Saccharomyces cerevisiae S288C: one gene and its partners. The protein of the gene in region 2 purifies or fractionates together with the protein of the main gene of each other region. This does not show direct contact. Each region holds a gene or a part of one and is shown on either strand. Other genes may lie near its edges.

Region 1 (3,759 bases), on a different chromosome or scaffold from region 2:
ACCTTCCCCTTCCGTTGGTGTGATAGCTTCCCAGACTTGAAGTAGCTTATTCCAGTCTTTGATTTTGGCCAAGTTTTGCAATATTGAGACAATCATGCCTGAAGTCAACTTATCTCCAAATGTTTGGAAAATGTGGTCTATTGTCTCGTAGAGTGATCTCAATTTTACCCGTTCATCCGCGACCATGGAATTTAAAAGAAGGGATATTACCACTTCATCGTAAACAACTGAGCCATCGTCCTCTGTTTGTAGACCTTTAAATAGGTTCAAAGCTCTGATAATCACCCTATTTTGCTTTACTAGGTTAAAGTATGAATGACTAGAATGCTGCGTTTTCAAAACCATTTCTAAAAGAGCGATTAGATCTTCCCTTATTAACTCTTGCCCCAACGATTTTTTTAAAAGTAGATAATCCTTGAGGAAAACACGATCTGAATAAAATTGTGGGTCTGCTTTGTTTAGAAGTATCGCATATTCTAGTCGTAGTGGCCAATATGCAGCCGATTGATTTATGGTTAAAAAAGTTGAATGTTCGTCAAATAAGGACTTCCATTGAACAACATCTACTTTCCTCTCTTGTCCTACCAAATCCTTTAAAGTATTTTTAACATGCTCCAAAGTACGTATATTGTGAGTTTCAGTACCACTACTACTCTGAATTATCTTATTGGCTCCTTTGAAGTCTTCCTTTTGTAGAAAGTATCTTAAATTACTTAGCCCGTTTGGGTTGATAGTTGAATACCTTCTCCTTTGCTGGGCCAGTCTTCTTAGGCCTAAAAGAATATTATTGTTGCTTGAAATTTCATTTACCCCTGAAATAGTAGGGACATTACCTGAATCTATATTTTGGAACTTAGATTTCTCATTTTCAGGTGCATACAGCTCTTCTAAATTCAATTCATTACGCCTTCTCTGTGTCAAAATATTTACAAAAATACCATCGACACGACAATCAATCATATACCAAGCCTCACTATTTAAGTCTTTTGCAGAGCATTCAGAGCTTCTACCTAATAGTTTACTAAGGTTGGATTTTCTTGCTAATCTTCTTTTTCTTCTACTTTCTTGTCGCTCATTAAAGTTTCCTTCAACGTATGCACTACTACAGAATTCGTGCTTCAAAAACTTGTTCAACTCTAAGAAACTTTTATGACAATGTTTGGTAGATCTTGCTGTACATATGACCATGAAGTCACCCAACTTATTAACGGCTGAAACAGAGTTTGGGCTTTTCTTCCGTAAATCGAAAACCAGGAAGTCATCCAGACCAAGTTTACCAGTTAGGAGGTCTGCTATTTTTCTTAATGAGTTTGGAGAGGTTTTAGGTATCTCCAATTCTTTGTTCATCGTGTGGTGGTTATTTTTCTTACCTTCCATTAGTTCCTTTTCATTGTCAACAATCCTGAGGTACCAAGGTGTTTCCAGAGGGGTAAAAGTAGACTTTTTGGATACACGACTTTGTTCATGACTGTCATTTTTGCCCTTTGTCGAGTAATAAACTGCTGTGATGTGACTATGAAGAAAATAAGGGCCCTTTTTGAATAATATGGTAAAAGGAATATTGGCCACGCCTATCCTCTTGCCATGGAAAGGTAGTAGACAGAATTTATTCATGTCAACAAACCTCAATTTTTGAATAAGCAGGCTATTACACTTAATCTTCACTTGGTGTCGATCTTTCTTAGTAGCTTAACTTGCTTTTTTTTTTTTTGGCTGAATGGTCCTCATTGTTTCTCTTTATCGGGATGAAAAGCATAATTATCAGAAGATTGCAAGTATATTAGAAGAGAGGTTAGAAAAAGATGTCAAGAAATACTAGTAAAAACAAATACCATTACTGTGTACTAGAGTACTATTTAAGAAAGACGGATTATTTCTAAAGTTACGATAGTTCGGATGATTGTGACCCCATTTCTAATAAAACCAATATTATCAGGTATATAGAAATGCTGCAGGATCTTTTCAAGCATATATGATACCACCAAAAAAGTGTAAAATCCCATATAATATAACGTTCTTCTATTTGTTTCGTACAGTTCGCTGATTGGTATTATTACATCAGGAATATTGTATGTTCGCTTCGTTAAAGTTTGATCGCTGTTTCCTATATGCGGCGTCTAATATATAGATGATGAGAATTTGACAAATAATGAGAATTGTTAGGATCCAATTATACTTAACAGCTATAATAATAGTACACAAAATATACTAAAAGTTCTCCTCGAGGATATAGGAACCCTCAAATGGAATCCATATTTCTACATAATAGTATTACGATTATTCTTCACTCTGTTTTACATGTTTCATTATCCTATTACATTATCAATCCTTGCATTTCAGCATCCTCTAACTTCGATGACAGCTTCTCATACCTTATGCCATCATCTAACACCGTATATCATAATATACTGGTAGTGTGACTACTAGTTGATAGACGATAGTTGATTTTTGATTTTTATTCCAACAGTCCTGATGATAAGTTACTGTCAAAGACATAATTATTATCAAAATATATGGTATTAGATGGACTGGTAAAAGTACAAAACTTCAGAAATTTGTCCGTGATAGTTTAATGGTCAGAATGGGCGCTTGTCGCGTGCCAGATCGGGGTTCAATTCCCCGTCGCGGAGATTTTTTTATCAGACCAGGTGGGTGTTGTTTGATCATCACAAAGTAGAATTCAGTGTCATTTTTAAAAACGTTACTTAATTTTACGATAATATGCTGCCAGAACAAGTTTAACAATACGCTTTTGGCAATTTGTTCTTGCTGCACTTGGAATTAAATAAGAGTCTTAGTAAACAGAATGTTGCTTTAGTTGTTCGTCAACAAAAACAAAGATAAAGGATGGAGGTAATCAAATAGCCCACATTAAGAAAAGTATACAACTGGGAATTTACTTTATAAAAATTACCGTTGCTACATTTTTTTATATTATTTATTGAATAGCTTGATATTTCAATTCTTCTTTGCAAAGTAATTGATAAGCATTCCATTTTTTACCAGGAGCCAAGGAAATAAAATCATGAACATGACCAGGTTCAATACATATCATTTGTTGGTAACCAGTTTTTGGTTCGAAATCGGCCATCCCTTGAGACTTCTCAATCCATGGATTCCAAACAACAGTGTCGGGCAAGTTGTATCTTTTTAGAGTGTGAATTTGAACGCCCTTGTCAACTATTTGAATGGCCCGTTCGGCGCTGACATTCTGATAAATTACATCGGTTTCTTGATTGAAGGTAACGACTGGGTGCTTGTCGACGTAGGATTCCTTCAACAGTTGGTCATAAAGTTTCATGCCAGCTAAATTAGAGACCATTGTTCCTTCAATATCTTCGATACGGAAGTATGTATGGAACAACCAGTTGAACTTTAATTCCTTGGAACTAGATGTGTTTTCTACTTCTATGGCAGTTTTCAAATAATCGGAGCCTAATTCAACAGTCAAAATCAAAAGATAATCCATTGGCCACAATTTGGTCAATTCTGGGTTAGCAATTTCTGGTTTCAAGCCAAATTGTACGGTCGGTGGGTTTTCCTTAGTTTGACCCAAAAACTCCCAAGTAGAATTTCTTGCAAGACCATGTTGAGGTAATTTACTCAAATGTTCATCGGTGCTATTTTTCCCGAATACAGGAAAGACCAAAGGTATACCACCTCTCACAGGTTTGCTACCATCCAATTTAGCAGCAGTAGACAACCACAACTGTTCTTCAGATTTCAATTTCCAAGAATAAACTGTAGCACCGTACTTTA
Region 2 (3,424 bases):
GATTCTGAGGTTCGGCGGTTTCCATTATTTTTATTCTCCAACAGGATTGCATACGTACCACGTCGCAAAATTAGCACAGAAGATGACATTATAGAAATGAAAATTAAGTTGTTTGGTGGAAAAATAACAGATCAACAGTCACTTTGTAACTTAATAATTATACCATATACTGATCCTATTTTGAGGAAAGACTGCATGAATGAGGTACACGAAAAAATAAAAGAACAAATAAAGGCTTCTGATACTATACCGAAAATAGCCAGGGTCGTTGCCCCTGAATGGGTGGATCATTCTATTAATGAAAACTGTCAAGTGCCTGAAGAAGACTTCCCCGTAGTCAACTACTGATGGTGCGTTTTGCGGAGGCTTAATTTTTTGAAGTTTATTTAATACTATCCTACATATGTACATTAAATACTTCCGTAACGTTTATCAATAAGAGTGGAAGATGCGCAATTATATTCAAAAGATTGGCCAGTCAATTAACTTAAGGAAAAAATTTACTGCGCGGCTGTGGTCCCATTTGAAACGGGGACGTTAGTGTTGCTTTTGTGTTTCCTTCTTCTTCTTTTTTTCTTTTCTTTAGAAGTATCTTCTTTGTCTTTCACCTCATCGCTGGGCGAGTTGACTTTCTTCTTCTTCTTTACGCTCAAAGGATTAGGAGCCTTTGGACCAAGCTTTCTTTTCTTAGTGATAGATTCCTTTCCTGATCCATCACCACTTTCTTGAAGTTTTTCAATATTAGGATCATTGAGACCCTTATACAATTTTTGTTCTTCAGTAATCTTGCTTGCCTTGGCACTCGCCGTACTGAGAGGTTCCATAACCATAACAGACCTGGTTAAATGGATTAATGGAACACCCGGAACCGTCCTCAGCTTCCTCCTCAAATCTATGTCCTGAGAAGCAACCACATACCTGTGTTTATTTGCACCGCTAATATTAACGACGCTTTCGATGCACTCCGCAGGTGACTTTGGATCTTTAAAAGAGTGGTTACAACGACGTCTCTCAAATTGTTTCGCTAAATTAATTGCACCATCATTTCTAGTTTCATATAACGCTTGTATGCAACACTGTGTGATCATGACCTTTACGTCTGCTTGCAACGTTCTTTTCAACCCACTCGGTAGATTAAAATTAGAATTATTACATTCTAAAACAAGCTGATTATCAACCAAAACTTGATATGGCTCACGGAACTTAAATGTGTGACTGTAAACAAGAAGTTGTTTCCTATATGACTTAGCCCTCTTTTGACGCATGTTAGGTATATCGGGAGCGCTTACAATAGTTGGTTTTTATTATTGGATTGCTTCCCTTCTTGCTCATCACGATAATTATACTATTGTTTAATTGACATCTTGAAAATTTTTCTTCCCGAAGATCATCGCATCGCACCGCATGTATATTTTTTTTTTTTTCCTTAGTAAATGATAGAAATAATCAAAACAAGAAGATGCCTCTCATACATAGAATACATTATCGAGCCGAGATCACAATTGTAGACATTCAGTTGTAACTTGTACCTATGATCTGAGGTAGTTTTTAAAAGGAAAAACACTGCATTGCTCGGTTGCTTTGGACGGTGACAGAGGAAGATAAAAATAGTTTCACACCCTTTAAAAGATTTCAATGATTCTGACGGTAAACCCTTTTATCTGTTGAAGGATAGTTTTGAAACCTATTTAAAGTGGTTGTCGTATTTTATTTACCTCCTTAACCCTTATCTAGCAGTGACTAGTATAAATTCGTAAAAAAACTATTCACAACCAAAAGAACTGCATCGCGAACAAAAGTTTATCTTTACTACTAATTTATTATGTATATTATTGAAAGAATTTAACCTACTCGTAGGAACAAAAAGCCGATTAGCGATTTCAAACGTCTTTCTTAGGCTTATGCTGACCTGTATGAAAAGAATAAAATAAAATCTCCTGGGTGCTCCTAAATTCAAAATCAAAGCTACCAAAAACCATCCAATTTCTTACCTCCCCCATTATATATTAATTTGTTAGGAGTATCATCACCGATATCACCCAGTACTCCCTGTGTACTAAATTTTAGGACTTTTTCTTTCAATTCTTGAGGTGAGGGAGCGTCGTTGAAAAATTCACTGTCTGGTGCAGGCTGTAATGATAAAAAGTAACTTAAAATACCAGCAACGTGCGGGGACGCCATGGAAGTACCTGATAAACTTAAAGTTGCATTCCTTGAACCAATATAGGTGGACATAATATTTATACCGGGAGCAAACACATCAACACATGTGCCCCAGTTCGAAAAGAATGCTCTATCATCACTAAATGTCGAAGCACCGACCGTAATACTTTTTTCAGCTCCTGCTGGTGAACTGAGACAAGCATCTTCATCCTCATTTCCTGCCGCAATAGCAAAATGGACACCGCTATCTACAGCTGCATTTACAGCCATTTCCATAGCTAGCGATTTGCTACTTCCCAAAGAAAGATTGGCAGTCGATCCTTTGAATTCTTTATTCTTTTTCTTCGACGATTCTATATGCTCCTTAGTAACATACTCTATACCTTTAATAACATCTGAAACCGTCCCTTCCCCATTAGAACGAAGAACTTTGACAGCTACTATTTTTGTATTTTTGGCTACACCAAAGTGCTTCGATCCGATAATCCCCGCACAGTGAGTTCCATGACCATTCAAATCAGAAGCTTCATCGTTTGCTGGTATAACGGCTCCCCACTCAGCACGCCCTTCAAAGTCCTCGTGCTCGGTATCAATTCCTGTGTCGAGTACATATGATGTGACACCTTTTCCGGCGGCATCTTCATATAAATATTCCAAATCTTGTCCATATTTTGGTTTCTCCCTGTGCGAAACTCTATGTAAACCCCAAGGCGCTTCTTCCTGCAATGACGAATTAGATATTTTTACTGTAGTTTCTTGCTCTACGAACTTTATGATTGGGTCCTGGGAGATTATTTTAATGATTTCATCAGTGAAATAGCCAGTATAACCTCGAAATAGACCATTTATGTCAAAAAAATTATCAATACCTCCAAATTGAGATTTAGATGATACTGAAGAAGAAATTACCCTCCAAAAAGCGTCATTTTCTGTAAGCTTACCTACTGAGGTACTATGATCCTTCTGTACCACTTGCATATGCGATTGAATCTGCTGGAGGGAAATATCTTCATTAAAGACTATGACATACCGATAAGGAAGAAACTCTGTTTTATGAGCGACATGTTGATGTTCAGTGTGAAAATTTCCAGGATCATGCTGTCCCAAACCTTCTCCTGCTCTTACACTGCGAGTACCATCAATATTCTCAATAAAACGAACTATCCCGTCGAAATCAGGGATGATCATACAAAGACAGCAATTTGCCCAAAGTATAGGTAAGATGGTAGAGAATTTCATGTTTAAAGATATAAAGTGGTTG
Region 3 (3,759 bases), on a different chromosome or scaffold from region 2:
TGTAGTACGTGCTCAACAACATGCGAAAATACTCCATGGTAACACATTTGTATCAACCTTTCCTCAGGCAGAGCCAACATGCTGTCAATGGTAATATTCAAAAACTTGTCGTCGTAGTCAATTAATTGTTCCAAGAAAACTGATCGTCTTCTTTCTTCTGCTGTTGGCCAGTCATCTCTGGTATTGCCCAAAGTCGATGCACTCAACAACAGGCAACTTTCCAAAATATTCTTTGCATCAGACTTTTCTGGATAATATTTTTGTATTAATTGAGCAATGACATCATCCCTTAAGTAACCACCTTGTTTATTGCTTGCGTTGATAATAGCAGTACCAAAATCCATATTTGAGTTTAAAAGCATGCTTAATTCAGGAACTACTGCATCCAATATCTGTTTTACGTCCTTCTCCTTCAAATGTTCCAGCAATGCACGCACTACAAAGGCACCTGTAGTATCCCTTTTTGCTAGTTTCACAATACGGTCTTTCATATATAAACGATAAAGTCTTTCAACATATTTTAGCCTGGCAGAGCCAATCACATTTTCTAAGAAATGAGAACCGACAGGATCTGACAGTAAATATTCCAGGAATGATTCCTCCTTAGGATCCTTCTCATCTGCTGTATTGAAGACCAATCTCCAAAATGAACGGTCCCTGTCAAAAATACCTTCGACTTGAATAATGAGCTGAATTACAGGGGAAGCCACTTTATCCACACTGTACTCTCTAAATTTGGTGATAGTAGATTGCGAAATATCAGAACGCGACTCGGCACCATTAGTAAATCCTTTGTATAAAGTAGTTATTATGTCACGAAGTTCAGATTTGAAAGATTCCGGTGTTTGGTAAACTTTATTGAAATCGTCATTATCTTTAATGTCAATCATTTTTCTTGCAATTTTTGACTTTTTGGAACGTAAAGTAGAGTTCGCTTTAGTTGAATTAGGCAATGTCTTGGAAGACAAAATTAATATTAGCAATCTCAAAACATGTGATGCATACTGATGGTTCATCATAGTTTTCAAGTGCGGTTTCAGTTCATTCAACATAAAGAGAAACATATTTTCCATAGTCACATAAGGCCCTTCTTTTTCATTGTTATCAAAACTTGGTGTTAAAAGTTCTCTTTCTACCAAGGCGGCACTTCTAACAAATAAAGTCTCTAAAACATGGGAAGCATATTTATGACATGACAACCCGAAGAAAACGCCATTGAAAGATTGGAAAATGTCTTTTAACTGAGTCTCATCACATTCAAGAATAACTCGTTCCATCAATTTCGAAGTTATTTGGGAAGTAACCAATTTCAGTTCTTTACCTTTTGCTTCCTCAATAATGCTCGTGACGAATTGAAACTTTTCCTCAGGTGCTTCGAAGGCGTCTAATTGCAAAGTCGATTCGGCTTGCTTGAAATACTCCAGTTCTTCTCTATCTAGCACACCAAAAAACATTTGTGGCTGAGTCTCTTTAATTTCGGCTTCGTCATTGTAAGTAGACTCTTCTTGCTGGATGTGCTCCTTCGCAGAATTTGAACTGGGTTCAAATTCGTCCTTTCTCTGTTTGTCTTGGTGTCTTCTGCCTCTTGTTTTAGTCTTTCCCATAATAACAATAATGTGGTTTTTCCGTGAAGGTTTCAGCGTCGTTCACAGTATACTAGTTGTAACAGATCGCAGCTCATCTAATATAATTTTCTTCATTATATTGTAGATGAGCATGAAAATTCTCGCTAACCGAAAAAAAATTGAAAAAAAAAAAAGTATTACAATCATCGAACAAATATACAGGCCAAGAGTTCGTCGGTTTTGCAGGTTGCTTCTTGGTTAATGTATACAGTACATCTGCATTATCAAAAATTCAAACATTATATATATCTTTACTACTATACAGGTACACATGATACAGCCTAGCAAGTTTGAAAACTTGATTGCAATTTATGACATTATATTCTGCTGTTTGCAGGTATATCTACTTTGTAAGTATAAAGATGCAAACAAATCAGTCTTCTTGGTCCCAGTTACCTGGCCTTGGGCCTTGAGGTGCTCTTGGACCACCCGCCTTCTTTGCCATGATAATTTGGTCAATGGAAAGCACAGTAGTTGCAGCTTCTGTAGCGACGTTAATAGCAAACTTTTTCGTTGCAAGCATGTCATAAATATTTTCCTCTCTGATGTCCTTTACACCTTCATCAGATTCGCCATCAATATCCACACCTTTATATAAATGATCTGTCTTAACTGCACCAGGTTCAGTTACGTTATGTGCAGCGTATAAGTTTGGTAGTACCTCATTAACATCAAGACCAGCGGTCTCCGCTAGGGTACGAGGAACCACTTCAAAAGCCACGGCAAACTGTTTTATAGCTAACTGTAGCAATCCAGGTGTTCGTTCACCATACTTAGTTATCCTAGAAATCAATTCAATTTCGGTAGCACCAGCACCAGGCAACAACTTACCGCCTGATGGCTTCATTAGTCCCTTGACGGCTGCAACACCATCATCAATGGCTCTTTCAATATCATCCAAATTATTCTGTGTGGCACCTCTTAAAATGATAGTAGATGTTCTTGAAATTTCACCTTGCTCTTGTTTGAACACAGTTACTCTATCACCACCTATCTCCATTGTCTTAACAGTTTCCACTAAACCTAATTCTTCTGGAGTTGGCGCACCTAATCTAGGCAATGGAGTGGCCCCACAAACGCGACATAATCTTCTTAATTCGAATTTGCTTGGTACCTTCAAGACTAGTATACCGTATCTATTCAAATAATGTAACGCCAATTCACCAACACCAGCACCTGCAACAATGCATTCTACGCCCATGTCGGCAATCTCTTTCATCATGGCATCTATTTGCTTTTCCTCGCCCTTAGAAAAATCGAGCATTTCTTGTGCATTATGTAATAAAACAGTGCCTTTCGTTTCAGTATTGGCTATGTCAAGCGGACAAGTGAAAACTGCAACTTTATGCTTTTTATCTTCGGATAATGATTTTACATGGCCTTCAGGCTCACGATTGAAAACCATACCTTTGATGACGGTAGAATTGGAAAGCGATCCACCCATAATCTTTACTACTCTGATAGAATCAACATTAAAATAAGGAATTTCTCCAGCTTGCTGAGCAACTGGTAAAACGTGAGATACAGCTTCAGAAACAAGTTCACTCAATATGTCTTCAGATCCGTACTTTTTGGAGGAGATGACTGGTTTAATCATTTTCAAAAGTTCGTTTTTATCATTCTTGTCAGTAATTTCACCAACAACCATTTCGTCTAGTTCTTTCAAAGTAAACTTCCTTGCCATATTATAACCTTGAATAATCTCAACGGCAGACAAGCCCATTGAAATCAGTTTTTCGGACACATTTAATAGTTCGCCAGCCAAAATCATGACTAAATTTGTACCGTCTCCCATGTCGATCTTCTGTTGTTCAGTCGCCATTACGAGGACTTTCACTGCAGGATGGACAATATCTAGTTCTCTTAGCATGGTGGCCGCGTCGTTGGTAATAATGATTTTACCGAGATGGTTAACAATGATCTTGTTTCTACCACAGGGTCCCATAGAAGTCAAACACATTTGATGTAATTCGCGAATGGCCGCAATTGATTTAATAATTTGGCCATCGGCGTTAGAGTAACTATTGTAGCCTTGTTTAAACAATCCCGCGTTGGGATTTTGTGGCAATCTAAGTGACATGGTTAATTGATGATTTTATTGCCCTTGAGGTTCAAGTTGTCTTGTCGGTATCTG

The links.
Region 1: the proteins of UTP23 (region 2) and ATP25 purify together in Saccharomyces cerevisiae (affinity purification with mass spectrometry, with the first as the bait; one large-scale study listed by BioGRID). This does not show direct contact.
Region 3: the proteins of UTP23 (region 2) and NOP9 purify together in Saccharomyces cerevisiae (affinity purification with mass spectrometry, with the first as the bait; one large-scale study listed by BioGRID). This does not show direct contact.

Annotation. Positions count from the first base shown.
Region 1 is NC_001145.3:460,996-464,754, forward strand, and holds the start of ATP25 (Atp25p), read right to left. Parts: upstream 1,615-3,759; coding exon 1-1,614. Other genes in the region: YMR099C (glucose-6-phosphate 1-epimerase), read right to left, coding at 2,939-3,759. UniProt on the Saccharomyces cerevisiae protein: mRNA stabilization factor specific for the 0.95 kb OLI1 mRNA. Also involved in OLI1 ring formation.
Region 2 is NC_001147.6:331,433-334,856, reverse strand, and holds UTP23 (rRNA-binding ribosome biosynthesis protein UTP23), read right to left. Parts: upstream 1,266-3,424; coding exon 501-1,265; downstream 1-500. Other genes in the region: DNA ligase (ATP) DNL4, read left to right, coding at 1-348; putative subtilisin-like protease YSP3, read right to left, coding at 1,966-3,402. UniProt on the Saccharomyces cerevisiae protein: Involved in rRNA-processing and ribosome biogenesis.
Region 3 is NC_001142.9:417,959-421,717, forward strand, and holds the start of NOP9 (RNA-binding RNA processing protein NOP9), read right to left. Parts: upstream 1,605-3,759; coding exon 1-1,604. Other genes in the region: chaperonin-containing T-complex subunit CCT8, read right to left, coding at 1,999-3,705. UniProt on the Saccharomyces cerevisiae protein: RNA-binding nucleolar protein required for pre-rRNA processing. Component of the 90S pre-ribosome involved in production of 18S rRNA and assembly of small ribosomal subunit. Component of the pre-40S ribosome required for release from the nucleolus.